Nothobranchius furzeri: one gene and its partners. The protein of the gene in region 1 interacts with the protein of each later gene in a biochemical or structural test. Links are inferred from orthologs where the notes say so. Each region holds a gene or a part of one and is shown in the gene's direction. Other genes may lie near its edges. The genes, in order: grb2b, dynamin-1, ret, inpp5d, microtubule-associated protein 2, GRB2-associated-binding protein 1 and csf3r.

Evidence for each region.
Region 2: the proteins of grb2b (region 1) and dynamin-1 form a complex in vitro, tested with the Homo sapiens proteins (5 studies listed by BioGRID and IntAct, with this or other methods). The link is inferred for Nothobranchius furzeri from reciprocal best matches to the Homo sapiens genes GRB2 and DNM1.
Region 3: the proteins of grb2b (region 1) and ret form a complex in vitro, tested with the Homo sapiens proteins (3 studies listed by BioGRID). The link is inferred for Nothobranchius furzeri from reciprocal best matches to the Homo sapiens genes GRB2 and RET.
Region 4: the proteins of grb2b (region 1) and inpp5d interact in a test that uses a peptide from one of them, tested with the Homo sapiens proteins (2 studies listed by BioGRID). The link is inferred for Nothobranchius furzeri from reciprocal best matches to the Homo sapiens genes GRB2 and INPP5D.
Region 5: the proteins of grb2b (region 1) and microtubule-associated protein 2 form a complex in vitro, tested with the Homo sapiens proteins (3 studies listed by BioGRID and IntAct). The link is inferred for Nothobranchius furzeri from reciprocal best matches to the Homo sapiens genes GRB2 and MAP2.
Region 6: the proteins of grb2b (region 1) and GRB2-associated-binding protein 1 form a complex in vitro, tested with the Homo sapiens proteins (5 studies listed by BioGRID and IntAct, with this or other methods). The link is inferred for Nothobranchius furzeri from reciprocal best matches to the Homo sapiens genes GRB2 and GAB1.
Region 7: the proteins of grb2b (region 1) and csf3r form a complex in vitro, tested with the Homo sapiens proteins (2 studies listed by BioGRID, with this or other methods). The link is inferred for Nothobranchius furzeri from reciprocal best matches to the Homo sapiens genes GRB2 and CSF3R.

What each region holds. Positions count from the first base shown.
Region 1 is NC_091752.1:67,730,130-67,734,177, reverse strand, and holds the start of grb2b (growth factor receptor-bound protein 2b), read left to right. Parts: upstream 1-1,248; 5' UTR 1,249-1,386; intron 1,387-4,048. UniProt on the Homo sapiens protein: Non-enzymatic adapter protein that plays a pivotal role in precisely regulated signaling cascades from cell surface receptors to cellular responses, including signaling transduction and gene expression.
Region 2 is NC_091750.1:35,487,615-35,491,114, reverse strand, and holds part of dynamin-1, read left to right. Parts: intron 1-282; coding exon 283-432; intron 433-505; coding exon 506-709; intron 710-816; coding exon 817-915; intron 916-1,000; coding exon 1,001-1,161; intron 1,162-1,824; coding exon 1,825-1,967; intron 1,968-2,053; coding exon 2,054-2,189; intron 2,190-2,266; coding exon 2,267-2,334; intron 2,335-2,418; coding exon 2,419-2,557; intron 2,558-3,500. UniProt on the Homo sapiens protein: Catalyzes the hydrolysis of GTP and utilizes this energy to mediate vesicle scission and participates in many forms of endocytosis, such as clathrin-mediated endocytosis or synaptic vesicle endocytosis as well as rapid endocytosis (RE).
Region 3 is NC_091752.1:5,725,373-5,729,594, reverse strand, and holds the start of ret (proto-oncogene tyrosine-protein kinase receptor Ret), read left to right. Parts: upstream 1-1,422; 5' UTR 1,423-1,627; coding exon 1,628-1,700; intron 1,701-4,222. UniProt on the Homo sapiens protein: Receptor tyrosine-protein kinase involved in numerous cellular mechanisms including cell proliferation, neuronal navigation, cell migration, and cell differentiation in response to glia cell line-derived growth family factors (GDNF, NRTN, ARTN, PSPN and GDF15).
Region 4 is NC_091756.1:60,966,763-60,970,262, forward strand, and holds part of inpp5d (phosphatidylinositol 3,4,5-trisphosphate 5-phosphatase 1), read left to right. Parts: intron 1-1,652; coding exon 1,653-1,788; intron 1,789-2,285; coding exon 2,286-2,418; intron 2,419-2,542; coding exon 2,543-2,683; intron 2,684-2,769; coding exon 2,770-2,854; intron 2,855-2,936; coding exon 2,937-3,014; intron 3,015-3,109; coding exon 3,110-3,187; intron 3,188-3,288; coding exon 3,289-3,412; intron 3,413-3,500. UniProt on the Homo sapiens protein: Phosphatidylinositol (PtdIns) phosphatase that specifically hydrolyzes the 5-phosphate of phosphatidylinositol-3,4,5-trisphosphate (PtdIns(3,4,5)P3) to produce PtdIns(3,4)P2, thereby negatively regulating the PI3K (phosphoinositide 3-kinase) pathways.
Region 5 is NC_091742.1:61,535,030-61,537,633, reverse strand, and holds the end of microtubule-associated protein 2, read left to right. Parts: intron 1-374; coding exon 375-487; intron 488-565; coding exon 566-775; 3' UTR 776-2,104; downstream 2,105-2,604. UniProt on the Homo sapiens protein: The exact function of MAP2 is unknown but MAPs may stabilize the microtubules against depolymerization. They also seem to have a stiffening effect on microtubules.
Region 6 is NC_091742.1:87,973,461-87,977,603, forward strand, and holds the start of GRB2-associated-binding protein 1, read left to right. Parts: upstream 1-1,343; 5' UTR 1,344-1,704; coding exon 1,705-1,779; intron 1,780-1,810; exon of another isoform or gene 1,811-3,210; coding exon of another isoform or gene 3,211-3,231; intron 3,232-4,143. UniProt on the Homo sapiens protein: Adapter protein that plays a role in intracellular signaling cascades triggered by activated receptor-type kinases. Plays a role in FGFR1 signaling. Probably involved in signaling by the epidermal growth factor receptor (EGFR) and the insulin receptor (INSR).
Region 7 is NC_091745.1:71,081,511-71,085,010, reverse strand, and holds part of csf3r (granulocyte colony-stimulating factor receptor), read left to right. Parts: intron 1-858; 5' UTR 859-866; coding exon 867-933; intron 934-1,053; coding exon 1,054-1,362; intron 1,363-1,654; coding exon 1,655-1,787; intron 1,788-1,881; coding exon 1,882-2,048; intron 2,049-3,500. UniProt on the Homo sapiens protein: Receptor for granulocyte colony-stimulating factor (CSF3), essential for granulocytic maturation. Plays a crucial role in the proliferation, differentiation and survival of cells along the neutrophilic lineage.

The sequences.
Region 1 (4,048 bases):
ACACATGATGAATGAACAACGTAAAAACAATATGAAAAAAAATAAAATGAGGACTAATAAAGACAGAAACATCTCTTTAAATTGCAATTAAATGTTTTGTTCCAATATTTTACATGAATTTTCATTTCACACTTCCTACCACATGGGTGGTTGCTCTTCCACTAGACCTTCAATCCCATAGACATGAATCTGTAGATGCCACATTGGTTTTTTTTACTGAACACATTTTTTATACAACAAACAGGGCAAACGTCCTATCAGTATCTAAACGTGTTGAATCATCTTTTACCACAGAAATATAATAACAAACACTAACGTTTGTAACTAACATAAAAACATGAAAGTGTGAGAGCCTTATTCTAGAAGTTTGAAAAAGACGCCCCATTGGGTGCTGGAGGGCGTAAAAACATTGTTGCCATATTGGAAAGGTTCCTCGCTCTCCAAACCCAACTGAAGTCAATGCAGAGTGGGCAACTATGCCTGGTTTTGTGCGGCCTTCATTTGCAACAACCAGCGACAATTGTAAACAGATCATGTGGTTACTATTGACTTTTCTAGCCTACCTGATGGTATTTTATATAGTAATTTTTTTTGTTTAATTATATTTATGTTTTAATGGTCATGCCTTACCATATGTCTGATTTTGTGGAAACAAAACTTGATAAAATGTGGGGTTTTTTTGTTTGTTTGTTGAGAGTAAGTATCTTCCTCAGTAGAAATTAATGTAGCGGGGCGAATGGAGACCCATCCAATATGGCGGCCCGATGCTACACCAGCGACAGACAGCAGGCAGCTGTGCTCAATCCAGTGCTGTTGTCATGATGGTATCTTCCCACTAGGGGGCAGCCTTTTAAAAGCATTTGATCTCTCCCGTAAAACAAAAATTGAAAGCAGATGTGCTAAATAGTGAACCACTCAGTTGGTTGTAGACTGGCGTATCAAACATTATCGTCTGTTTGCCTAATCCCTTACTGCAGTTTTTTTAATCTGGCAGAGAGGTACTTTATTTTTAGGTTTTGGACAAATTTCACTTTTAACACCATAAGTTTCAGTCTGAACTGATTCGGGTCACCAGATAAAGTCCCTATAATCACATATCAACGTTTTTCCAGTCTGTTTAAAAGTGTCCTGGCTGTGGATGAAACGGTAACAGAGGTGGCTGGGTTGACATGGACTGTTGGGAGGAGCTCGGGTCTGAAGAGCACCAGCTCGGCAGAAGGAAGCGGAAATAAACGCTCTGCTACCAGCTAGCTTCGGGCTCCTAGGACGGGCTGTGAGCGACGCTACACACTGTTGGTTGTCTCTTATGGGGAGCAGGGAGAGCTAAACAACACGGTAACGTTTTGTTCCCTACGGTGGATTCTTCCCAACCGATCGTCGCAAGCGGTAAGACGCCGTTACCGTTTCGCATAAATGTGGTGTACAATAAAGTGTTTTCTCACAGAGTCAAGTTCACGATAGCAGCTGTAAGCTAGCAACAACAGCTTGCGCTAAGAAAAAAGGTGTTTTCTTCCTTTTTCCCGTTTCCCATCATGAGGCTTTCTATCGGGCTTTAATCATCACTAATCTTTTACAACCCCCTCTAAACGTCGCCTTCTGCTGTTCTATCTAATGTAGTCCGTTCGATAAGTTTGATCATCACACTGCATCGCAGTTATTGTTGACCGAACGTTAGCCGGGGTGCTAACGTTCTAGAACAGTGGGCGCAGTCTACTCTCTGGAACCGATTCGATCCCTTTACACGGGAAGCGGTTTTAGACGGGTTCTGGTGGCGGCATCGCCACTAACGCGACGTGCGGGCTTGGGTTTTGTGTTTAAAGTTGGGAAACGACGCGAAGGTGAGACATTTGGGCAACTGGCAGCTGTTTTTCTGTCGCACCTCCGTCTCATCATCCATTTTCATGACCTGATGTTTAATGACACCGCTAATGTGCTTGTGTGATCCTTTGTGTTCAGCAGCCTTTTATCAGTCAGGGCTCGACTTCCTCAGATACAACAACTCGTTATGTGACAAAAAACCTCCTTCATAACACCGTTAGTGTCCCACGTAATGCCGTTATTACTAACTAGTAAACTATCTACCATCACTAACTTATGCCTTGTATTTTTATGCGTCTTGCAGAATTGCAACACGCTTGTTTGTTATGATTATTATTATTAGTCCTCTGCCAGCATCTGGCTAGCTGTCCACGTTTAACGGCCTTATTTGGTAGAGCTGTGTGGGTGTGAGCTCATCAGTTCTGTCCCCATCACCTGTTAGCAAACGAGCTAATTGGATAAGGCGACTATCAGTTCAACCCTGCAGCAAAAGGTTTCGAGCTGTCTGCGTTAACCCACTTATCTCTGGTTGTTGTTCTCAAAGGTTTGTTGGGATTATCAGATTGTGGCCTGACCCTTGGACCAAACCCATATGTTCTCCATTAATATTAACTAACTGCTATGAATAGATGTTCCCCCTAAGTGTTAAAAGCGCAGTCTGATGAAGCAGAAATCATAAACAATTTTCCTGTGAATGTAAATATTTGAAAAACTTGCTGTAGAAGTGGTTAGTGGTGCTGATGGGTTTTTTTTTTCCCCTCATTTCTGTTTTTCGGAGGGCTTTGCATTTAACCAGAGTTGTATTATAATTTCTGTTTTGGCCTCAGAAACCATTACATGTGTGTGCCATCGCCTTTTCCCTTTGCAGACATACAGGGTGGTTCTCAGTGTCAAGGCGCCTTGCTTACGAGGACACTGTCCTTCCTTGGTCAAAGAAAACGGTTAAATGGAACAGACTTGCATCACATGACACGGGAGATAACGTTATATTTTCTACGTATTAGTTTCAATATAAATATCTAACGAGTCTTTTACTTTTTAAATTGTGTATATGTTTATTAAATTAAAAATATAAGTGAGTTACTACCCGCTAGCCACCGAAGCTGCAACTACTAAGCAACTAACCAACCATAGATAACTTCTTTGGATATAAAAAAAAAACATTTTAAATTAGCTGACTTACTTTTAAACTTGAAAATTTGTCCCCGAAGTTGCTGCCGGTGTTGCGCCAAAGTAGTTACCCCCGTCAAAAATTGTTTCCCCATTCACGGGAGCGCGCAAAGTAGGAGGAGGCACTAGCCCAGCTCCGTTGGGAATACTTTGTATAGAAAAACACTTTGATACTATAATACTGTAAAACCAGACGTGACCATGGAAACACGTACAGGGTATCCGCGGGTCCTTAAAAAGTCTTAGAAAGTCTTAAATTAGCTTTTCCTAATTTAAGGCCTTAAAAGTCCTTAAAAATTACAAATAATCCTTAAATCCAGTTTCCAAAGGTCTTAAATGACCAAAGACCCAATAAACAAGATTCTTTTATTTCTATAAAAATTTCGTGAATCTCTAGTTAGTGTTCAGCATTTTTTGTGTACGATGTTGCCGTAAGCGGAACCGTACGCAGTCAGTTGGTTGTGAAAGGGGGCTATTTTTAGATGAGCACATTAGCTGGTTAAGCTGGTGGGAGCTTGCGCCATGGGGAAGGGCAAGTTTAATGGTAACTGGATGGCTAATCCCACGTTCGCGACGTGGTTAGCACCGGCTCCAGGCAAGAGCTGGAAATTATCGCTTAAATTTAATTTTTAAAATAGCTTAAATTTGGTCAAAGTGGCCTTAAAAAAGGTCTTAAAAAGTCTTAAATTTGGCTCCCTTAAATCTGCAGCTACCCTGACGTCGCTCTCCGGTGAATTTACTCTCGGTTTACACTTTGTTTTTGTTGGCGTTGTTATCACGAAATCGTTTATTTGCTAAATAAGTCACGATATAAGCAATAAGTACAGTAACTTTGAAGATGATTTCTTCTTCACAGCAAAAGTTATGGAGGGATACAGATTTTATCAGGCTGTGTGGCCTGATGAAATGCATTATTGATGGGGGGGGGGCACACATTTTGGCAGCCGAGGCCACACAGCCTGATAAAATCTGTATCCCTCCATAACTTTTGCTGTGAAGAAACTCTCTGCAACGTTACTGTAGTTATTGGTTATACTGTGATTGATTTTGCAGATAAACT
Region 2 (3,500 bases), on another chromosome or scaffold:
CCTTGAGTTACATCTCATGCAGACTAGTCTTGAGCAAAGAAGGGGAAAAACACAGTCTTCCGTCCCGTTACACCGTTCAAAGTTTGTCAACCCTCTGGGGCCTCAACCGATTTCCTGCCCTGCCTGTTGGCCCGTTGCACCTCTGTTCAGAGCCCCTCCCTGATGCTCAAGCTTCTGACTATCTTTAAGAGAAAGCCAAGACACCCTGTGGAAAAAACTCTTTTTGGCTGCTTTGATCCAAAACCGCGTTCCTTCTGACGTTTTTCTGATGTTTTTGATCAGAGTACGCAGAGTTCCTGCACTGTAAAGGGAAGAAGTTTACCGACTTTGATGAAGTCCGTCAGGAGATCGAGGCTGAAACCGATCGAGCAACAGGACATAACAAAGGAATCAGTCCTGTCCCCATCAACCTGAGGGTGTATTCCCCCAATGGTAAGTCACCTGAGCCACACCTGAGTGACATCAGACAGAAAGGGTCCGTGCTGACTACGGTGTGTTTGTGCAGTGCTAAACCTGACTCTTGTGGATCTCCCGGGGATGACGAAGGTCCCTGTGGGCGATCAGCCAGCTGACATTGAACACCAGATCAAAGAAATGCTCCTGCAGTTTGTCACCAAGGACAACTGTCTCCTCTTGGCTGTTTCTCCAGCCAACTCTGACCTCGCCAACTCTGATGCTTTGAAGATTGCTAAGGAGGTGGACCCACAAGGTCTGAGACCACATTGACCTGCAGACTTGACTCTACCATCCACCTACGTCGTGTGCATGTCCATCTAACGTTGGTCCAGTGTGGTAAAGCTTGTTAATGTGCTGCAGGTCTGAGGACCATCGGTGTGATCACCAAGCTGGACCTGATGGATGAAGGAACTGACGCCAGGGACATTCTGGAAAACAAACTTCTGCCGCTACGCAGAGGTATGACATCACGGCTAACGCTAGTTGCTCATTGGTTGTCAGTTGTTTATTGTCAGCAACAATGTGAAACATTTTGTGGTGTCAGGTTACATTGGCGTGGTGAATCGAAGTCAAAAAGACATTGATGGAAAAAAAGATATCACAGCAGCTCTGCAGGCCGAGAGGAAGTTCTTCCTGTCTCATCCTTCGTATCGTCACCTGGCTGATCGAATGGGCACTGCCTATCTACAGAAAGTCCTCAACCAGGTAGACACACATAACTTGTCCCACTTTAGTTTCAGTGTTTCTAGTTCTGAGTTGCCGTCAGTGTTTTGGATCCAAGTAGCAAAACTCTGGAACCAGACGGAAGTCCAGATATCTGCAGGTTAACGCCCTGAAAGTCTTGAGAATATCCTGGCATGGTCCTGCGATCATTCAGTTTGGCTTCTCTAAGTTCAAGATTCAGGTATGTCAGAGGAACACCGTCTTCAATAAAGTCCTTCTCAAAGTGAGAAGACCGGTCCATCCTTTTTATCAAACACGATTTAAGCTTCTGCAGCACCAGTGAACACCTGCTTCTAGTGGATTTTCGTCTGGAGGTCCTGAAAGCTAACTCCTAGCTAGCGGATTCCAGCTCTTACCTGTTCCTTTTGGACTCAGGTTGAGGCTTCTGGAGCTGTGTCATCGTTTTTAGAAGGTTTGGTTCTGAGTTCTAATGTTTCTTGAGGTGATTTCTGACCTAAAGTAGCAGATAAGTCAGATGTTGCCTTTTTGATGTTTCACCTTCTATAGTTCAGCCCTGCTTGCTGCCTCGTGGTTGTGTTGCTGTTGTTTTGTTGTCTGGTCCAAAAAACCTTCTCAAACCACAGAAACCGTGCTCGTTCCTCGTTCCTGCTGCCACAGTAACAGAGGAATTCTCTGTTTCCATAGCAACTGACCAACCACATCCGGGACACTTTGCCAGGATTACGAAGCAAACTACAGAGCCAGCTGTTGTCCATTGAGAAGGAGGTGGAGGAGTACAAGAACTTCAGGCCGGATGACCCAAGCCGCAAGACCAAAGCCCTGTTACAGTCAGTACTGGTATATAACAAAGTACTACTCAGAACAACTCGGTACCACACCGTACTTTAGGCATGTGTGTGTGTGTGTGTGTCAGGATGGTGCAGCAGTTTGCGGTGGACTTTGAGAAGCGGATTGAAGGTTCTGGAGACCAGGTGGACACATACGAATTATCAGGAGGAGCAAAGATCAACCGTGTCTTCCACGAGCGCTTCCCCTTTGAACTGGTTAAGGTAAATGCACACACAGAGCAGTTGCCATGGTGATTAGACCCAAGTGAACCGCTGTCGGTGATGCGTTTCAATGGCAGCTGGAGGGTGATGAGAAGACTCTACGAAAGGAAATCAGCTACGCCATCAAGAACATCCATGGAATCAGGTGGGCAAAGCGACTGTCGGCTACTTAGGTTAGAATACTCACCGATCTGGTCTCACCTGTGTGGTGTCGCCTGTGTCCACCCAGGACGGGTCTGTTCACACCTGACATGGCATTCGAGACGATTGTGAAGCGTCAGATCGCTCAACTCAAAGAGCCGTGTCAGAAGTGTGTAGACCTGGTGATCACCGAGCTGGTCAACACCGTCAGGCAGTGTACACAGAAGGTACCCCCCCCCCCCACCCATACACACACACGCACACACACACACACACACACACACACACACACACACACACGCACGCACACACACACACACACACACACACACACACACCAACCCAATGGAGAAAGGTGAAGTTGCTGTTAACCAACCATGAACTTCTATCTATCTGTCTATCTATCTATCTATCTATCTATCTATCTATCTATCTATCTATCTATCTATCTATCTATCTATCTATCTATCTATCTATCTATCTATCTATCTATCTATCTATCTATCTATCTATCTATCTATCTATCTATCTATCTATCTATCTATCTATCTATCTATCTATCTATCTATCTATCATCTATCTATCATCTATCTGTCTATCTATCTATCTATCTATCTATCTATCTATCTATCTATCTATCTATCTATCTATCTATCTATCTATCTATCTATCTATCTATCTATCTATCTATCTATCTATCTATCTATCTATCTATCTATCTATCTATCTATCTATCTATCTATCTATCTATCTATCTATCTATCTATCATCTATCTATCATCTATCTGTCTATCTATCTATCTATCTATCTATCTATCTATCTATCTATCTATCTATCTATCTATCTATCTATCTATCTATCTATCTATCTATCTATCTATCTATCTATCTATCTATCTATCTATCTATCTATCTATCTATCTATCATCTATCTATCATCTATCTGTCTATCTATCTATCTATCTATCTATCTATCTATCTATCTATCTATCTATCTATCTATCTATCTATCTATCTATCTATCTATCTATCTATCTATCTATCTATCTATCTATCTATCTATCTATCTATCTATCTATCTATCTATCTATCTATCTATCTATCTATCTATCTATCTATCTGTCTGTCTGTCTGTCTGTCTGTCTGTCTATCTATCTATCTATCTATCTA
Region 3 (4,222 bases), about 62 Mb from region 1:
GGGTTGACTCTCTTCATCCAGATCCGTAGGTTTTTGTGGGTCTGAGATCGCTTCCAAAGATTCATTCGTTTCTGACTGAACCCGTGGAAATGTGGGCAACAAAACCCGACCCATTTTACCGCTAGCTCTACATTTCACTCGTTCACAGGTGGAAAAAGAGGTCATAGGTTAACATCAATTTCCTGTTTTGGTTTAAGTTTTTACAATCTATATGATAATTTACTGATTATTTTTGTTTTGTTTGTTAAATATTTTCACATCCACACATTAAATTAAAATTAAAGTGTAAAAAAATATATAATATTTACTTGGGGGTGCTATGGGGGTGCTATGACTTATCCAGGGGTAGCTATAGCGCCCCATGACGCCGCCACTGGACCCGCTGCTCCTCCACATCGAGAGGAGCCAGTTGAGGTGGCTCGGGCATCTGGTCAGGATGCCTCCTGGACGACTCCCTGGTGAGGTTTTCTGCATGTCCAACCAGGAGGAGGCCTAAAGGTAGACCCAGGACACATTGGAGGGACTATGTCTCTCACCTGGCCAGGTAACGCCTTGGGATTCCCCCGGAGGAGCTGGCCCAAGTAGCTGGGGAGAGGGAAGTCTGGGCCTCTCAACTGAGGCTACTGCCCCCGCTACCCGACTCCGGATAAGCGGATGAAAATGAATGGATTCTAAATATTTGGGTTTTGTTTATATATTGTTTTAGTTCTAAATATGTAATTATAACTTTATATGTTTAGAAATGTCTCTATCTTCGTATATTTAGTTTGGTCTTTTTGTTAAAAATTTTATTGTAAATATTTAGATTTGATATTTTCAGTCTCTATTCCAAACAGATAAATTAAATTAAGGCCTTATATTCAGATTTGAGTTGACATTTTTAAATGTCTTTGATTAAAATATTTCACTATAACTTTAATTATTAAATGTTTGTATTTAAAATTTTAGATTAAGCTTAATATACATACCTGTACAGTAGATTGGATTAAAAATATTTAGAATTCACAATAAACTGAATTTACTAAACAATTTCAATTAACTTCATCTAAATGCGTTATGTTAACTGTTACACATTTAGATTGTAGTTTTTAAATGTCTGTGCGTTTATTTTAAATTTGTTTCTAAAAGGTTATATCAAAATGATTCTTTGACTGTAGTCAAACATCGTTTTCGTGTTTTTTGTTGATCCAGACTTCACACATTTAGAGGTAGTTAGTTAGAATACACACCCACCCCCACCTCCTGCTGGCTGTTAATGAGATGACTGGCCTGAGGATAAATGATGCTCTTATTTCCTGTAGATGCTGACCTACCTGCTGCTGCGGAACCAGCGGGCAGAGAGCGGTGGAGCAGCAAACCTCCTCCCTTTTCCTCCCCCTCCTCCTGCCCCCCCCCCCCCCCCCCCCCCCCCCCAGTCAGCCAGCCCCTCAGCAGCCGCAGGAGCTCTTCTGTGGGACGCGGACTCCAGCTGGGCTCCCCGGACGCAGGACGCACACCTTCAATAACGCATTTCTGCGCTTTTCTCTCGGTTTTACAGCTACTCCTTCTTTATTTAGCTCATCTGAGGGGAACTTTTCCAGGAGCGACTGGATTTTCATTGAGAAACTTTCCCTAATGGTTTTCTAATATGGAGTCAAGTTGTGGCTTCTGTCGGGGAAACGTCGCTGCGCTGCAGCTGCTGCTGCTGCTGCTGCTCGGAGGTGAGCTCATCCTCATTTTACTGTTTAACAAATTAAACAACGGAGGAACCTACACATATTTATAGAATTGATGTTTGACTAAAAATCTGAAGGGAAGGCGTCACTTCTTAATAATTAAATAATTATGATTAACCATAAATCTGCAGAACAGTTCCAAATTTAGCCTTTAAGGTGATTTTGGCGACAATAAAATCAGCCAATCAGCTGTTTCCATTACTTTTCCTGTTACAAGAGAAAAATGCGTATTTTTATGTTATTGCAGAATCATAAATTAGTGCCTGTGCCAAACTGATCCAAAAACAAGAGAAGAGGTTTCTGAACTCTAACCTAAAGCTGAACACCTTTTGGAAGCTGGGTGATTTTTTTAAAGCATTTTTTTCCCGGAAGTAACCTGAAACTAGGACCCAGTGGTTTTGTTGTGGAGAACTTGCTCCATAATATTCTAATCCCATCCAATCCCACAGCCCAACTGCACAAACATGTCCTCTCGTGAAGTCTATTTAAAGTGTGGCTCTAAACTCTTGACTGCAAATCTTAGCAAGCACTGTGGTCCTATTAGAGGTCAATGTCAGAACTTTATCAGAGACTTTAAAGAATCTGATGCTTTTATGTGATTGAGACCATTTGGTATCAGAAGCTCTTCCAGTTATTTAATTAGCTGAATTCCTGCAGTCTGTTTGGACTGTTTTGTCTCTGGAGCCGCGTGGTTGCTCCTGATGTGATGGAGATGAAAGGGGCGCTGAGACCTTCAGCCTTCCTAACTCATCACCTGTCTGCTCTAAAAGATCCTCGTTTGCTCCAGGGAGAAGGAGAGGTGAGCTGCAGGCAGGTGTGCAGCAGCTGCGCTTATCTCTGGGCAAACACTGGCTGTTTGTTTTCTGCAGGGAAATATTGCCTGCCCTGTTATATAAGTGCGCACGGTGATCCAACTGCAGGACAGAACCAAACTTCTTGTAAAATGACCCATTAGATTGATCACTTCTGCTGCTTTTTAGTGATTATGATTATTTCACTAAAAGAGACATTTTCTACCAAAGACTTTAGTAAAATGGTAAATTTTACAGTTTAACAGCATGTTTGTGCTTATTTATAAGAGCTCTACGTCTTTAACAGGATCAGTACTTTCTGCAAAAAGGGCTTATTTGAATCCTCTTTGTTTTCGACCATCTGGTGGAGGAAATCAGTACTACAAGTGTTGTTGTTGTTATAAATGCACCTATTCTGGTTTTGAGGAGTTTAAACCAATTTCCGATTTTTTTTTTACAGATCTGACCTGCCATTACCAATTTTGTCTGATTCTGATCCTCAAACTCTCAAACAGTAATAACAGGAAAACTAAAACAATTATTCCAGAATTAAAATGTCTGCATAGAAAATCAGTCATCGCTAATAGGCTAACGCTTGGTAATGATGCGTTCACAGACCAAAACGTTTATTTAAAATCAGATTTTTGAGTTTCGGATTGGTCTTTGCATTTAATTCTGAAACCAATTTCAATGAATGACTCTTTTTAAAATTATTATTGAAGCTCTGGTTGATGTTTTGTCATTAAAAACATAAAATTTGTTTTCATCTATTAAAAATAGAACTTACCTGACTTTTATTTCATGTGTGAGAGCTACAATAATCAGGTTCTGATCCTTTTTTGGACATTTGTGCCGCTGATGTGGATGATTAATGGGAAAATAAGTTAAGTGGAGCAAGTTTTAGTTTCAGGATTCCAGTTTGGTGCTTCTGGTGTATTTTTACTGCAAGAACTTGAAAATTATATTTAAAAACTAACTGAAGCATTTTTTTAATCAAGAGTTTTCAAAGATTTGTGTGTGTGTGTGTGTGTGTGTGTGTGTGTGTGTGTGTGTGTGTGTGTGTGTGTGTGTGTGTGTGTGTGTGTGTGTGTGCGTGTGCTTGTGTGTGTGTGCGTGCGCATGCGTGTGCATGCATGTGTCCGCATGTGTGTGTGCGTGTGCATGTGTGTGTGTGTGTGTGTGCATGCATGCGTGTGTGTGTGTGTGCTTGTGTGTGTGCGCACGCGTGTGCATGCATGTGTCCGCATGTGTGTGTGTGTGTGTGCGTGTGTGTGTGCATGCATGCGTGTGTGTGTGTGTGTGAGAGAAGAGAGAGAAGTTTAATGAGAAATTAATGAGAAATTAAAATCAATAGTGCAATATAATATAACAAAGAAACATTTGCAGGTTTACAAGCAAACACACAACTTACACAATGCTAAGAATGGGCGCGGGCAGAAGCATAAGCTTATAAGCCCAGCCCCCCAAACCCTTTGAACTTAAACAAAATTTTAGAATAGCGTACCGATTCCATAATTTTTACATCATGTTTGAAATGTATGGGAATATATTCAAATCCCCATTCTAGCTTCATAAAAAAAAAAAAGACCTTTAATGTTTTATGCATTTTTTCATTGACTTGATTCATAATATTTAATCACATTTGATTTAAACATACCCTTAAACTTTACCATTGTTGAACAATCTTTTTGCTCCTGGTCTAATTTATTCCACACA
Region 4 (3,500 bases), on another chromosome or scaffold:
ATGTGCTGAAGTGCTTTTATCTTGAAACTTTTAAATAGAGCAATGTAATGTATGGATAGTAACCTAAACAGTGTCATTGTAAAGCCAAAGCTTGATCAGTTTAAATACTATTTTCCAAGTAAAATGTGCCCCAAACTAGTTAACTGTGGCTCCATGTCAAGTGGACCAAAGAAAGGAAGGGGGAAAAAATCAAATCGCTGGAGAATTGTTTATTTCCATTTATACAGCGTTTACATTCAATACAGGGCGCCATTTTACATTGTTTATTTATTTTTTAGTATCAAGGCTGTAACATAAAGAAAGCCAGTTCTTACCACAAACCATCTTTCAATCGCAAATATTGCAAAAAGGATTAATTTATCCTCATTGCGAACGTTTAAGACAAATAGCAACACTTAAAACAACTTTCCAACTGGAAAAAACTAATATCTGTGATAAACATCTGTTTAAGTACCGGACGAGATTATCTCTGCTTTCTCAATGTCCATATTGCTAGATATGCCGAGTTTTAAGGCCAAATCCCAGGGAATTTCATCTAAAAATGCAATTACCCTAACCATGCACGATCCCGTGGTGGCTAATCATTTTTTGGCAGCCAGTCGCTTTTTGGCACAACACCACCACAGCTGTGATGGGACCTACGGGCCACCGTAGAGGTGAAGGCTAGACTGTCCGACTTCAGAACCGCTGGGTTCCTGTCTTAGCACAGGCGAGGACCCGTACTCATAAGCATCCTGCCCGTGGATTCGGACACACCCACAGAGAGCAGAGCCTGTCTCGGCTAGGAGAAGCTAACTGTTAGCATTAGCAACTCCACTACAATACAGAACACATTTACGCTTGTTTTGTTTGTGGAGATAAAACATAAACGTTGCAGAGCAAACAGCGACAGTCAAAGTACCTCTGTTAGCCACTCTGATGAAGACAACAATGTCAAAACGTTAGTTTCTTTTTATTTGCACCTATTAAATATTTAATCTGACCCGAATACTCCAGCCTCCTTTTTCTATTCCTCAGTTGCTAGTTCCAGCTGTTGAGCACCAGCACTCATTAATTTTTTCCCCTGTTAGCCAATCAGTGGCGAGATGTTTGCGTATCATAAATGCTGAACTCCAAATCCTGCCATTTTCCTCCCCTCACTCCCAAACACAAAGAGGACCTCCTGAAATAGGAGCGCCAGAGCTTTTTTTTTTTTTACCCTGAAAGCAACTCACAAGGCATTTATTCAAAGAGACCACATCAAGTGTATTGAAATGAGCATACAATGTTTCAGGTATATAATACACCACTACTTTCTTTTATATAATAACTATTGTCTAAAATTTACCTCATGAATTATACATGTTTTAAGGATTCTCATGGGGGCTTCCTAAATAAGGCTGTGCCCTTTCAACTCTATTTGTGTCTAAATTATTCTAACTTCTGTATCTTGTTTACTCAAAGAAACCCAAGTCAACTAACTGTCTGTTCACTAACTCAACCGCTGACATCTAAAACCTTCACATATCATTACAGGAAGTTGCCACTGAAAAATGATGACATGTAATTTCGTAACAAATTCCTGAAACTGTCACAAACATGTGACATTAAATTTTTCTCAGTCTATACTAGCAGTTTAAGAATGAATATTTCTGCTTTGATCTGCTCTGCAGGCTTCTGATGGCGTTCCTATCAGGTTCTTCACCATGCTGCCTGAGCTGGTGGAGGCTTATCAAAGCCCCAACATGGGTCTGGTCACGCATCTACAGTACTCCGTCCAGAGGGAGGTGGAGCTGGATGAAGAGCAAGGTCAGAAACCTCCTCTGTATTTATCTATGCAGCAGTTAATAAATGTTACTGCAGCTTAAATAAGCACAAAACATAAAGAAATGTGTTTTAATATAATTGATTTCATTCAATAGAATTGCATTTTTTTTGTATTTTATTTTTGTTTCTTGGTAATGAATCATATTCAATAAACTTTACTATGAGTTAGTTAAAGGTGTATCTAATTCTACTCTAATTTCCCTCTGGGGTTAATAAAGTATCTTTGATTTGATTTGATCTAGTCAGGTCAGGACAGTATTAGCAACCCATTTTTCTCCTACATTTTCTACGTAGCAGATACTTTGACTCATCGTAGCACTGGAGTCGTAAATGATCTTAAAGATGGCCAAGTCAATTTTAGAGGAAAGAGAATGACTTCACAAACCTTCATGTGGCATAAAGCAGTACCAAGAAGCATTGTTAATAAAAGACATCAAACTGTATGCATTTTGAAGCTTTTTGTGCTCTTTATATTACAGAAACTTCCAACCATCCACCACAGCTCCCCCCCAGGAACTTCACCTCAGAAAGTGAATCCAAGACCAGCGAGCAGGCCAGCAAGTCCCTATCAGACACGTACCTCATGAGGCTGCAGTACATGGACCTGTCTGTGTACGGTCACATTTAAGAAAATTACTGAGCATGCAGCACTATCAGAAACATGGAGTTGTGGTTATTTTCCATTGACTTTGCAGGTTCATGACATTAATTTTCGTCTGTTGTGTTTTACCTCCAGACTGTCCGAGGAACATCAAACGGCCATCCAAGAATACTTCAGGACTGCAATCTGCGTAGATGCTGAGCAAGTCCAGAACGGCAACCCTAACCTCCCTGGCCTCAAGAGGCTAATCCAGGCAGTGTGTAAAAATCTAAACAGGTGCATCATCCAGTCAAAAGAACATCCAATATTGTTTTGGCGACTCTGTTCGTCTAACCACAACGATATCCCTTTTTTTGAGACAGTGAAATTTCCAGAATCCTGCCAACTCTGGAGATGCTCCACAGAGCAATGGACCAGCAGCTCTCCCCTGGGATTGGACCAAGACATGTGGGTGTCCTTCATCCATAGAGTTGTTGTCACCACACACAAACATGTTTGCCTCATCCGGTGTCACGTCCTCATTTTCCAGATTTTAACAGATTCAGGACAGAGTGTGTCCTATCGGCTCGAGCAACTCACTAAACTGCTCTACTCAATAGAAGATAAGGTACAGTCCAGCATTTTCTGCTCCCCTGTTTTCAGACACACCAACAGCACATGTTGCTTGTGGATGAAAAAAAGACTTCTCTGTTCCTGTTCCAGGCTAAAGGTTCTGTTTTTGAGTCGGTTGGATATGACGGAGGCCACAGAAACTCTCTCATACCAGTTGCGTCCTTTGAGGTGCTTCCCATTGCTTTTACGTTGTGACACAAATAAAACGAGACGCAGTAAAACACCTGGAGGTTTGTGGTTTATGCCTCCTGGTTTCTTTTGGCTTGCAGGTCAAACAAGAATCTCTCGGTATTTCTACAAAAATGGTTCTGAAGGTGGACGTTGAAAGTGGGAAACTCTACTTTAAGAAGTCAAAAGATGGACCTGAAGACAAATACTTTGTACACAATAAGAGTGAGTAATCTTTGACTTTATTCATTAGCATGGTTTTGTTGTCAGCTTGGGTCAGATGATGGTCAGCTTAAGCTAAAAACACTATTTT
Region 5 (2,604 bases), on another chromosome or scaffold:
AAGGAGAGAGCTCTGGCCACAGGTTAAACATTCCTGCTTTAAGAAAACCGTTCAATTTCATTGTTTATGTGCTACCTGGGCACTCTAAATATTTATTTAAAATATTTATTTAAAATTAAATCAAAGGAAATTGTAATGGTATGGAATGTTTATTAATTACTACTTAAAAAATGAAAGTGATGGGGAAGAAGGTCGACCATATTTTTTAACCCTGTCTGTTTAGCTTGACGTCTGATATATATATATTTATATATGTGTGTGTGTGTTTGTTCTCACGGTGCGGGGGCTCGTTAATAACGCCTAGGAGTAGTCCAGGCCTGCCAGTGATAATGCTCTGGGTTTTTTTTAACTTCCTTTTGCTGTTGTGTTCCCAGGGGGGGGTAATGTGCGTATTGAGAATGTGAAGCTGGATTTCAAAGACAAGGCCCACGCTAAGGTCGGCTCCATGGATAATGCCAGCCACACTCCCGGAGGAGGGAATATCATGGTGATGAAACATTTTTGAAAGTTCAGATGAATCTGCCTGACTCTTTAATAAATAAAATTGTTTATTCATATTCATCAGATCGAGAGCCATAAGCTGAGTTTCCGTGAAACGGCCAAAGCGCGCGTGGATCACGGCGCAGAAATCATAGTCACCCACTCCCCGGGCGTTGAGACCGGGGGCACCTCTCCTCGCCTGTCCTCTGCCGACGGCATGAACATGATGGATTCGCCTCAGCTGTCCACGCTGGCGCAGGACGTCACCGCCGCCCTGGCCAAGCAGGGCTTATGAGCTGCTAGTACAGAAAAAAAAAAAGAATCACACCACCACTCTTCTCCCCCTACCTTCGCCACTCGCTATGAAGCATCCGGTGAATTCCTCATGACCCTTCAGTTGAACACAAGTGACCCCTACAGCTGTAGTTGATGAACCGTCTTGTTCAAGTTTAAAAAAACTGCGAAATATTTCACTCCTCTCACAAAAAAAGGGAAACAGTTTTGTTATTTCATTCCTTCACTCAAATACTCTGTTTTTATTGCTAGCCTGAAGGTTTGTGTGGCTGTGATTGTCTAAGAATGCGTTTCAATGATTGTACAATGGTTTAATGTGTGTGAACAATCCACTTGTGGTTCACACTCGGAGGTGAACTCCTTCACGGCCACTCGTGGTACTGAAGCGATTCTAGCTAATTGTCTTAAAAGATACAGATGTACGAAAGATTTTAAGGAAAGACGTAAACGAACGGGCATGTCTGCTAAGATTTGTTCTGTCTTTGTTGGACTTCAATGTTTTAAATTGTGTTTTCTTGCTATGTTTCCTTTTTATATAAATGTTACCGTAGTGTTACAGATTTGTACCTTCCCCGTGGCTGCTCTGGCTTGTTAGCATTTATAATAACCATTGCAGTTAATGTAAAAATGTCGAGCGCTAAACAGCTAGCTTTCCAATAGATTATTTTTTGTTTCTTTTCTGCGAACAGACCTACTGTTAGCTCTGGGTTTTGTCGTTATTGCCGTAGCTTTACGAGGGTACACAACGCTGTTATGCTGGCGTGGCAAAATAATGATGATTACGTTAGATCTACTGTCTTAAAGTTTTCAGTGTGAGTGTAAATGGCTGGGATGCGTTCACGTGCTTAAGGTGACGTTCTGAGAAGCCCTGTGATTTCTATCATTTTGCTAAGACTGGAGTGTACAGTGTGTTTGAGTAACTAAAGGGTCTGACGTCTGTTAGAATTAAATGTAAGAAGTATGAAGCTTTATATGAAAACATTCCAGTGTGACGGAGAAGCTGTGTTGTGATTGGCCGGTTTTGACCGGCGCCAGAAGCAAAAGTGACAAAGAATGAAAGATTTTTTTTCTACTACTAGCAGATCTTATAATTCAATTAAAAAGGATCAATCAAAAGAAAATGCTTCCGATTGTGGAACCCCCTTTTCCCGTCCTGACTGATGTTTTCCTGTGCTTCTTCTTTTCCAACCACCCACCCTCCCCCGCTCGTGTAAGTGTATTTAAAACAGACCATGTAGATGTGTGTGCACTATTTCCAATATTCGAGACGTTCTGATGACAAATGCTCTTACAGGATGATGACAGCATCAATAAAGAAAATAAAGACTGACTCATTTCTGTTTATTTTATTTCGTTTTTATGAACGTTATCGGCTTTCTCAAGTACCTCACTCAATCAGGTCAAACAGGGTTAGATGACATTGCATATGGGTAAATTACCTTTATTTAAATTGCACCTTTTGAAGACCTACAACCCCCAAAGGCACTTTACGACACAACAGTTATTCACACAATCACACTGGTGAAAAGCTAAAGTTGTGAATCTTCACTAGTGTCACAGTTTGACTCATTTACGGTTATCATGCCAACAATTTCGGCAGACTTTGCAATGCACCACGATTATTTCAAATGCTTTTGTTTTCATCGATAAATAGAAGCTGTCAGATATTTGTCTTTTTTATCAAAGCATGTCTGACACAACACGCCGTCTCCCAAAAATCATAACCATTAGCCCCAATGACAATGTAAAAGTGTAAAACATTTTAAACTTTTAAAGAGAGACCAGGCAGCTTTGGCTTGCTTTTAGCACCCCCTAGTGTTCGTTTAGTGG
Region 6 (4,143 bases), on another chromosome or scaffold:
CTGCACTCCCTGCAGATTAGATCTGACTTTTTACAGATTAGAATTTGATGTTTATTATCTCACCTAAAATCTAGAAGAGATTTGTTGTCATGTTTAAAAAAACGTTTTGTTTCTGAATTAAGAAAAAAATGGCAAAAAAGTATGGATATTTTTTTTAATGAGATGCTGATGTTAGTGGAAAATTAATTAAAACAAACATAAAAAGATCTAAAAAATATTACGGGTACTTTTACTGTCATTCTGTTGTGGAAAACATTCAATGAAAACTCTGAAAAGCTGCTTAAACCTGCATTTTTTTATTATTGTGGGCCGATCTATGTTATTAAAATGATCAGAGCCACTACTGAGTAATGTGGTAACTTGAGGGGAACAGTGAAATAGTAAAGCTTTTGCTGTATGCTTCTTCATGTTGAATTCAAATGAAATATATACAAGAAATATTTAATAATAAGAATAATCATTGTATGTATATGTAACAGTGATGTTAGGGCTAAAAGGCAGAATATACGTTTTGTGTGTTTGTTTTTTCTCATTAAAGTGGAGCTTAACGTTGTCCCATATTTGAGTTGTCTCTGTCCCACGTGTGCCAAGTTGGGATCTGGTCACCCTTAGGTGTGATGCGAGCGCCTCTACTTGGAAGTCATTTGGCTCACGTGCCCGGTTATTTTTGGGCACTGGAGCAATGCAGGGTGTTCTCCAGAGGGTGGGCATTCCCCCAGAGTCACCCCCCGTTCGCCTCCTTGTCATTAGTTCTATTGTTTTGTCTTCCCATGTGGAGCAGCAGTCCACAAACCAGTCGGTATGGTAAGTGCGCAGCTCCAGAGATTCACGACTAAACCTGCGTCTGTTTTAAGGGCAGAACAGCAGAGGCGCTTGTGCATGAACGTTATGAGTTTGGTAATAAAAACGGTTCAGTGTGTGTGAGTGTAAAGCTCAGGGGAACGCTGATGAATGATGTGGAAGAAAAAAACATTATAGTTTATTTATGAAATGTAATCATTTAATAGTAATTATCACAGAGTGGTGGCTGTGGTAAATATTGGTATAATATTACAAAATGATGCCTGATATTTGTTGTATTGAAAACTTATTTTAACATACAATCGATCATCAAGGGGGTTTCGACAGTTCTCAGAAAAATTTAGTAAAAACATTGAAAAATGTCCGTTCTCATAACTCGGGATTTAGTTTTTTGCATCAGAAGACCTGAAAACTGGCGACGGTTACTGAAAGTTTTGTTTGAAAACCATTCCTCACACATGGGGGGGGGGGGGATTTTTTTCCTGTCTAACAGAATAGGGGGAGTGAGCAGGAAGGGGAGGAGCCAAAGAGAGGGAGGAGAGGAGAGAAGGAATGTCTGAGCTGAGGGATTGTGTTTGGTTATGGAGGGAGGAGTGATTCTGTTGGGAAATAAGTCTCTCAGGAGGAGGTGTGACTGCGTTAGTCAGCAGACGCGGAGCAGCTCTGGTGTGTGTGTGGATGAGCTCCTCCCAAACAGGATTCTTCTCAGCCAGGGAAACGTGTGTGAGGACAGAGCTGATCTGAGGTCCTGAGTTGTTTTGGGTTCTTCTGATTCAAACTCCTGCCGGCTGGAGTCTGGTGCGAGGTTCTGCTGGTTGAGTCTGTGGATTCAGACGGGATCTTCACCTGATCTGACTCCCGACCGGCTGTTGACAGGGTGACTGACTAACCAGAAACATCAGGATGAGCGGAGCGGCAGATGTGGTGTGTGAAGGATGGCTGAGGAAATCCCCACCAGAGAAGAAGCTACGGAGATACGTGAGTCCTCTCAGTTTCAAAAACTCATCTATTTCTTTATTTCTAACTAGATTAAACACACTCCACCGGCACTGGACTGGTGTTGATGGATGCTCATCTGAGTATTTTTTCTTAACTTTAATCATCATCGGTGTGCTGTCACCGTGGACGTGAGTCATTTCCTAAAGCCATGACTGTAAAACAATAAACACGTCCAGCAGAGAGCAGCCGCTGAGCTGAGACCCAGAAACGTTCTCATCTAACTTTTGTCTGCTGATAATAAACCAAACTGTTAAATCTGGATCCACAGCACCAGGTTTCCATTTCCTACTGTAAATCTTTAACAGTTAACTCAACGGTTAGTGGAAACGACACAAAGTTCATTCTGCATCTTTAAATTCAAATCTCCAACACCTGATGCCAGAGAGCTGGATCGGACACACACACACACACACACACACACACACACACACCACATTTCTGACATGCCTTCCCCGTGACTTGACCTAATCTCATCTCTCCTCCATATTTCCTCCCGTTTGCAGGGAGAAGCAGAACAATGTCTGCGGTCTACTCTTCCATCACTCTTTCTCTTTCATTTGTTGTACTCTCTCTTCCTCTCCTTTGGTCACATGCCTTCCTTTCTCTGTTTGTACGGAAAGTAAAGGAGGACTAAATCAGAGCAAGAGGGATCTATTTTTAGTAGCGTTGCTGTTTGAAACCTTCAGTTCAGAGAAAACGAGCTCAGATATGGGACATCCCAGCATGCTTCTAACGAATCAGCTGGTTTCAGAGATGTTTGCAGGAAAAGGTTTTTAGGAGGGAACCACTGGACAGGACAGGCGGTCAGCAGGGGAAACCAAAGAGGAAGACATCATAAAAAAGATTTAGTCCTCGCATGTACAATCTAGCACACACACACACACACACAGCTATGTTTCCATTGTCAACACCATAAAACCAGACTCGAGCGGCCCTAAAGGCTGCAGCAGCCTCCACGTGTTCCTGTAAAGAATGTGGATGAAGTTCCTGCTGCAGCCTACCTCCTCTTAACCTCCCTGCTCTGTCGAAAGCAGTGTGTGTGTGTGTGTGTGTGTAGGAGAAAGTGCGTTCGGGTGTGAGAGAGTGTGTGTTGCGTAATAAACTAATCGCTCTCAGCTGGGCCTGCCTGGAAGCTTTTAGGGCATCTGGAAACGCGGAGAGAGCGTAAACGTGACGTCGCTGACGTCAGCGGGTGTACGCGTCACAGATGCGTTTATGACAGTCTGACGGGAGGGAAGCTGACCTGAAACTTGTTTTCAAATGTAAACAAGTCTGATTTCACATTGTTGAGTTTTATTCTTCATCCTGTGATGGAACCATTAAAAGTTCTCCATGACTTTCGGGATCGATAAATGAGTGAGCCACAGCCACCCTCTGAGAGTCTGATGGCGACGTCACGTCTGAGGTTTCATGGACTCGGCTCTAAAGTTGGTGAGAGAGAATCGACATGTAGAGGGTTCATCTAAATAAGGAGATGTTTCTTTTGGGGGTAATTTTAGTTTGGAGGCAGGAAAAGGGAAGAGATATTTTAACTCTATTGTAGCTGCTTCCGGCTGAGGTCAAAGGTCAAAGGAGCAAACATCAGGAAACCAGAGGAGATCGCTGCAGGAAAATAACTTATCTCTATTATTACTAATATGTCGCCTTCACATGATTAAATCAAAAATAGAACACTTCTTCACAGAATAATTTTTAAAAAGCGCTTTTTAAACTTTTTTTATTCTCTGGTTCAGTTTAGTGGTTAGAAATAAAGTTTTATGTGGTTTGCTGATGTTGCTCGGATCAAAACTCATCTGTCATCAAACCTCTCCAGTCTCAACAGTGTTTTTATTTTTTAACCAAATTACTATTTTTTATGCATGAATATTAAAGTCAGACATGTTCATGGAAACAGGCGGAGAAAGCACGGAGAACGCTAATATTTGATCCTGTTGATTAGAATCAGGATCTACTTAAAACATCACCCTTGTTATTCCTAACATCTCAGGGAGGGTGGGGGGTTGTGGGGTGGGGGGGTAACGCCTTATGTTTATGTTTATTTATTTGGCCGACGCTTTTATCCAAAGCGACTTACAATGTATAACCTATAGGGCATGTTGTGATCTGTGGGGGAAACCGGAGTACCCGGAGGAAACCCACGCATGCATGGGGAGAACACCCAACTCCACACAGAAAGGCCACAGCCGAGTTTCGAACCTGCAACCTTCGTGCTGCGAGGCAACAGTGCTAACCACTGCGCCACCATGCAGCCCTGATTATTTCATTTCATTTATTTATTTAAGGACCGTGCACATTAATATACGTTACTGTAAATGTGCCAGTGTTAGCCAGCAGGCTAATTTT
Region 7 (3,500 bases), on another chromosome or scaffold:
GGCACCATCTAGTGGCTGACAAGCATATCACACAAAACGTCTGTCGATCCGTTTTATTAAGATGGCGACTTCACGTTTCTTGTTTATTTATGTGCTTCTATAGCCGACAAACAAAGCTGAAACGCATTATTTCACAAGTATTATCTTCATGTCATGTTGCATTTTCATATATTTATATTTTAAAGACTTACTTGTCTGTAAAAAGTTCATCAACTCTGCATCAGCTGAGGTACTTCCTTAAATTTGAAGCACATAAGCTAACGCCATTGGTTAGTTCTGGTCGGCGCTCAGTTTCCTATTGCACAGAGCTCTGCGGTGCAGGCTTAGCAAAGAAAAGAAAAATATGCATTGCTTACACGGTAAGACAATCACTTTTACGGATTTCTGAAAAATCATATGTAATTTCTACTTTAACATTATTGGATTCTATACTGCTGTCTGAAGCTAACTTCCCCTCCTGCTGACTCCTACGTCCTCAAACAGGTGCACCGGAGCTTTTTTTTCCCCTAGAGAATGACTTGCAAGGCATGCATTTCTACTAGAGACCACTGCAAATGTATTAAAACTATAAGTGAAGTTGACCTTTAAACATAAGAAACCATAAATGTGAACATTTCTGAGCTCCAAAAGCACCGTGACAAACTGATTCAGAGGCAACAAATAAAGACAGATGTATCGAGAGTCGTGGAGACCAAAGCAAAACAGCAACAACATCAAACTTGATGTTACTTTTCTTTCTAATTTTTTCCTTCATCACTTGAAAAGCAGGGCAGTTCAGATGTTTCTCCTATTTTTAATAGAAAAAGCATGCAAGTTTGTAAATTTAAGAGCATGGACTTCAATTTGGCTGCCCAACAGGTTTTGTCATGATGTTGTCTTCATGGATGTTGGTGACGGCCGTGCTGGTCACATCTGCCGGTGGGGCGAGCGACGGTGAGTGCTGCTTTTAGAAAGTCATCAAAATGGAAATGTCTAAACACTCCTTACAAAGACAAGTTTTCTTTTCTTCATTCAGAATTTCTCTGACTTCCGTTGATTTTATTTCGTCTTTAGAGGACGACACCCAGCCATGTGCGAAGGTCCACACCTCGAGCTCGGCTGTGCCTCTGGGGTCACCTGTCACCGCCACCTGCGTCATCAGAAAGGACTGCCTTCTGGTCACCGCACAAGCTGCTCCGATTGAGTGGCGTCTTGGCTCTGACTTTATTCCCAGCAGCCCCGTGGCCAATGAGAGGTTCAGGGTTTCTAAGGTTGTGGTATCTAGCTTCAATCACACCAGGGCAGTCCTCACCTGCGGCGTTTGTTTACCCGACAACGAGTCTTCATTTCAAATCTATGCAGGAGTTGAGATCCGAGCTGGATGTAAGAACATTTTGAGTTCTTTCACGTGTTTGATGGAAGTATTCATTAAAAATAATCAGATTTTATTATGTTTTTATCCACCTGTAAAAAAAAAACAAATTGTCTTGTTTTAGCAGATCGCTGCATCCTGGTCAGTTAGGGAACATTTTTGGGATTTGTTGCAGAATATGTCTACTTTGCATAATCAAATTTCAGTCTATGCTTACACCTAGACAAGAGCTACTGACTGCGTTACAATGTGCGGGTAAATTTTCAGTAAAACTTACTTTTTAGCGCTTATTTTGACTATTAGATCCACCACAAATCCCCCAGAACCTGAACTGTCAGGCAAACTTCACCTATCGCCCCACCCTCACCTGTAGATGGGACCCAGGACTGCAGGAGACACACCTCCCGACAAAATACACCCTCTACACTCAGATATGGTAACTGTAAATTCTACAAAACAGTGGCATGTACTGAGAGTGTATTTTCATTAGGCTGTAGAACTGAGTTTCCCACATATTGTGATCATTTCAGGGACTTAGACAAGAATTATACCTATGAGCTACCTTCAGGAGTCCACCACTACACCATCCCTCGCTCTAACTTTGTTCTGTTCTCTGAAATGAAAATCTACGTGAAGGCGGAGAATAACCTTGGAGAGGCAGCATCAGTGCCCATCATCCTGGAGCCAGTTGGTGCAGGTAGGAGTTTATGAAAATTACTGGTCAAGTAAAGTTTTTATATAGAATTTTATGGACTTTTTCAAAATTGAAAAAAAAATCTAGCTCATATTCCCTTTTTTTAAATCTGATCTTACCGTCTATCGTTCCAGTTTCATGTATTGCTGTTGAATTGTAAATAAAAATAATATTTTATGTAGTCAAGTTACTAAAAATAGAATTTACATTTGTTTGATATTAAATATGAAAAAATAAAAGCATGTCAATATCTTATCACAATGAATAACATGGAAAAAGCGGGAAAACTTAGAATAGATTTTCTATTTTTCACCAGTGGTGCCCCCAAGGGGTGGTCAGAGGGGGCATGGCCACGCCTAGAAAATTGCTGGCCACACCACTGGTCCAAGGGAAGACCCCCATTATAAAATATCTTATTCAGGTTCACATAAATCTTCACTTTTTTATCAACACATAAATGTAAAACCTATAAAAATATAGAATTAATTTAAATAAATGCTGGTCATCATTTTCTAAACAAGTACAAATCTCTATAGTTGTTGTGAAGACTGCAACATGCATCAAACTCTTCTAAAATTAATTTTAAATAATTTTTGTTAAAATATTCATTCAAATAAATATTTTAAATGTCTTTCTGAAATGTTTCTGTTTCTCAAATGTGATGTAAATGGGTTGGGTGTGCATTGTTTTTGTAATGAAAGTTAACAAAGGAGCTACATAAAACACAAAACTGCAAAAACTGATTTTCAAGAAAGTAAAAAGGCCTAAAGGGCTAAAAAATAATAATAATAACTAGAATCCTCAAATGCTTTACTAACCATTTGGAGGAGAAACTACACTGCTCACAAGAATTAAAGGAACACTTTTTATTGGGCCTGGCGTGAAATCCATTAAACCTGTCTGATAATTTCCTGGTTGATTAAGCAGCTGAGGGCATTGTTAATCACTTTCAGCTGTATTGGTGTTCATGGACTTAACGACAGGTGCACTAAAGTGGCAACAATTACAAAACCCTCAAAACAGGACTGGTTTAACATGTAGAGGTCACTTCAAGTTTCTCCCTCTTGATCTTTTTCGGCTGGTTTCCCACTCGTGCTAGTTTTGGCTCTCTACTGGCAGTACGAGGCGATTCCTTAACCCTACAGAAGTTACACAGGTTGTCCAACTTCTCCAGGATGGCACATCCACACGTGCTGCAGCAAGAAGGTTTAATATGTTTCGGTCCATTAGGCGGCGCCAGGTTGCTCCTCAGACTGTACAAGAGCTCAGGGATGCCCTCACACAGATCTGGGAGGAAATGCCACAAGACACCATCCGCTGTCTCATTAGGAGCATGCCCCGACGTTGTCAAGCATGCACACAAGCTCGTGGGGGCCACACAAGATACTGAAAAGCAATTTGAGTTGCAGAAATGAAGTTTTTGAAATAATGGACTAGCCTGCCACATCTTCATTT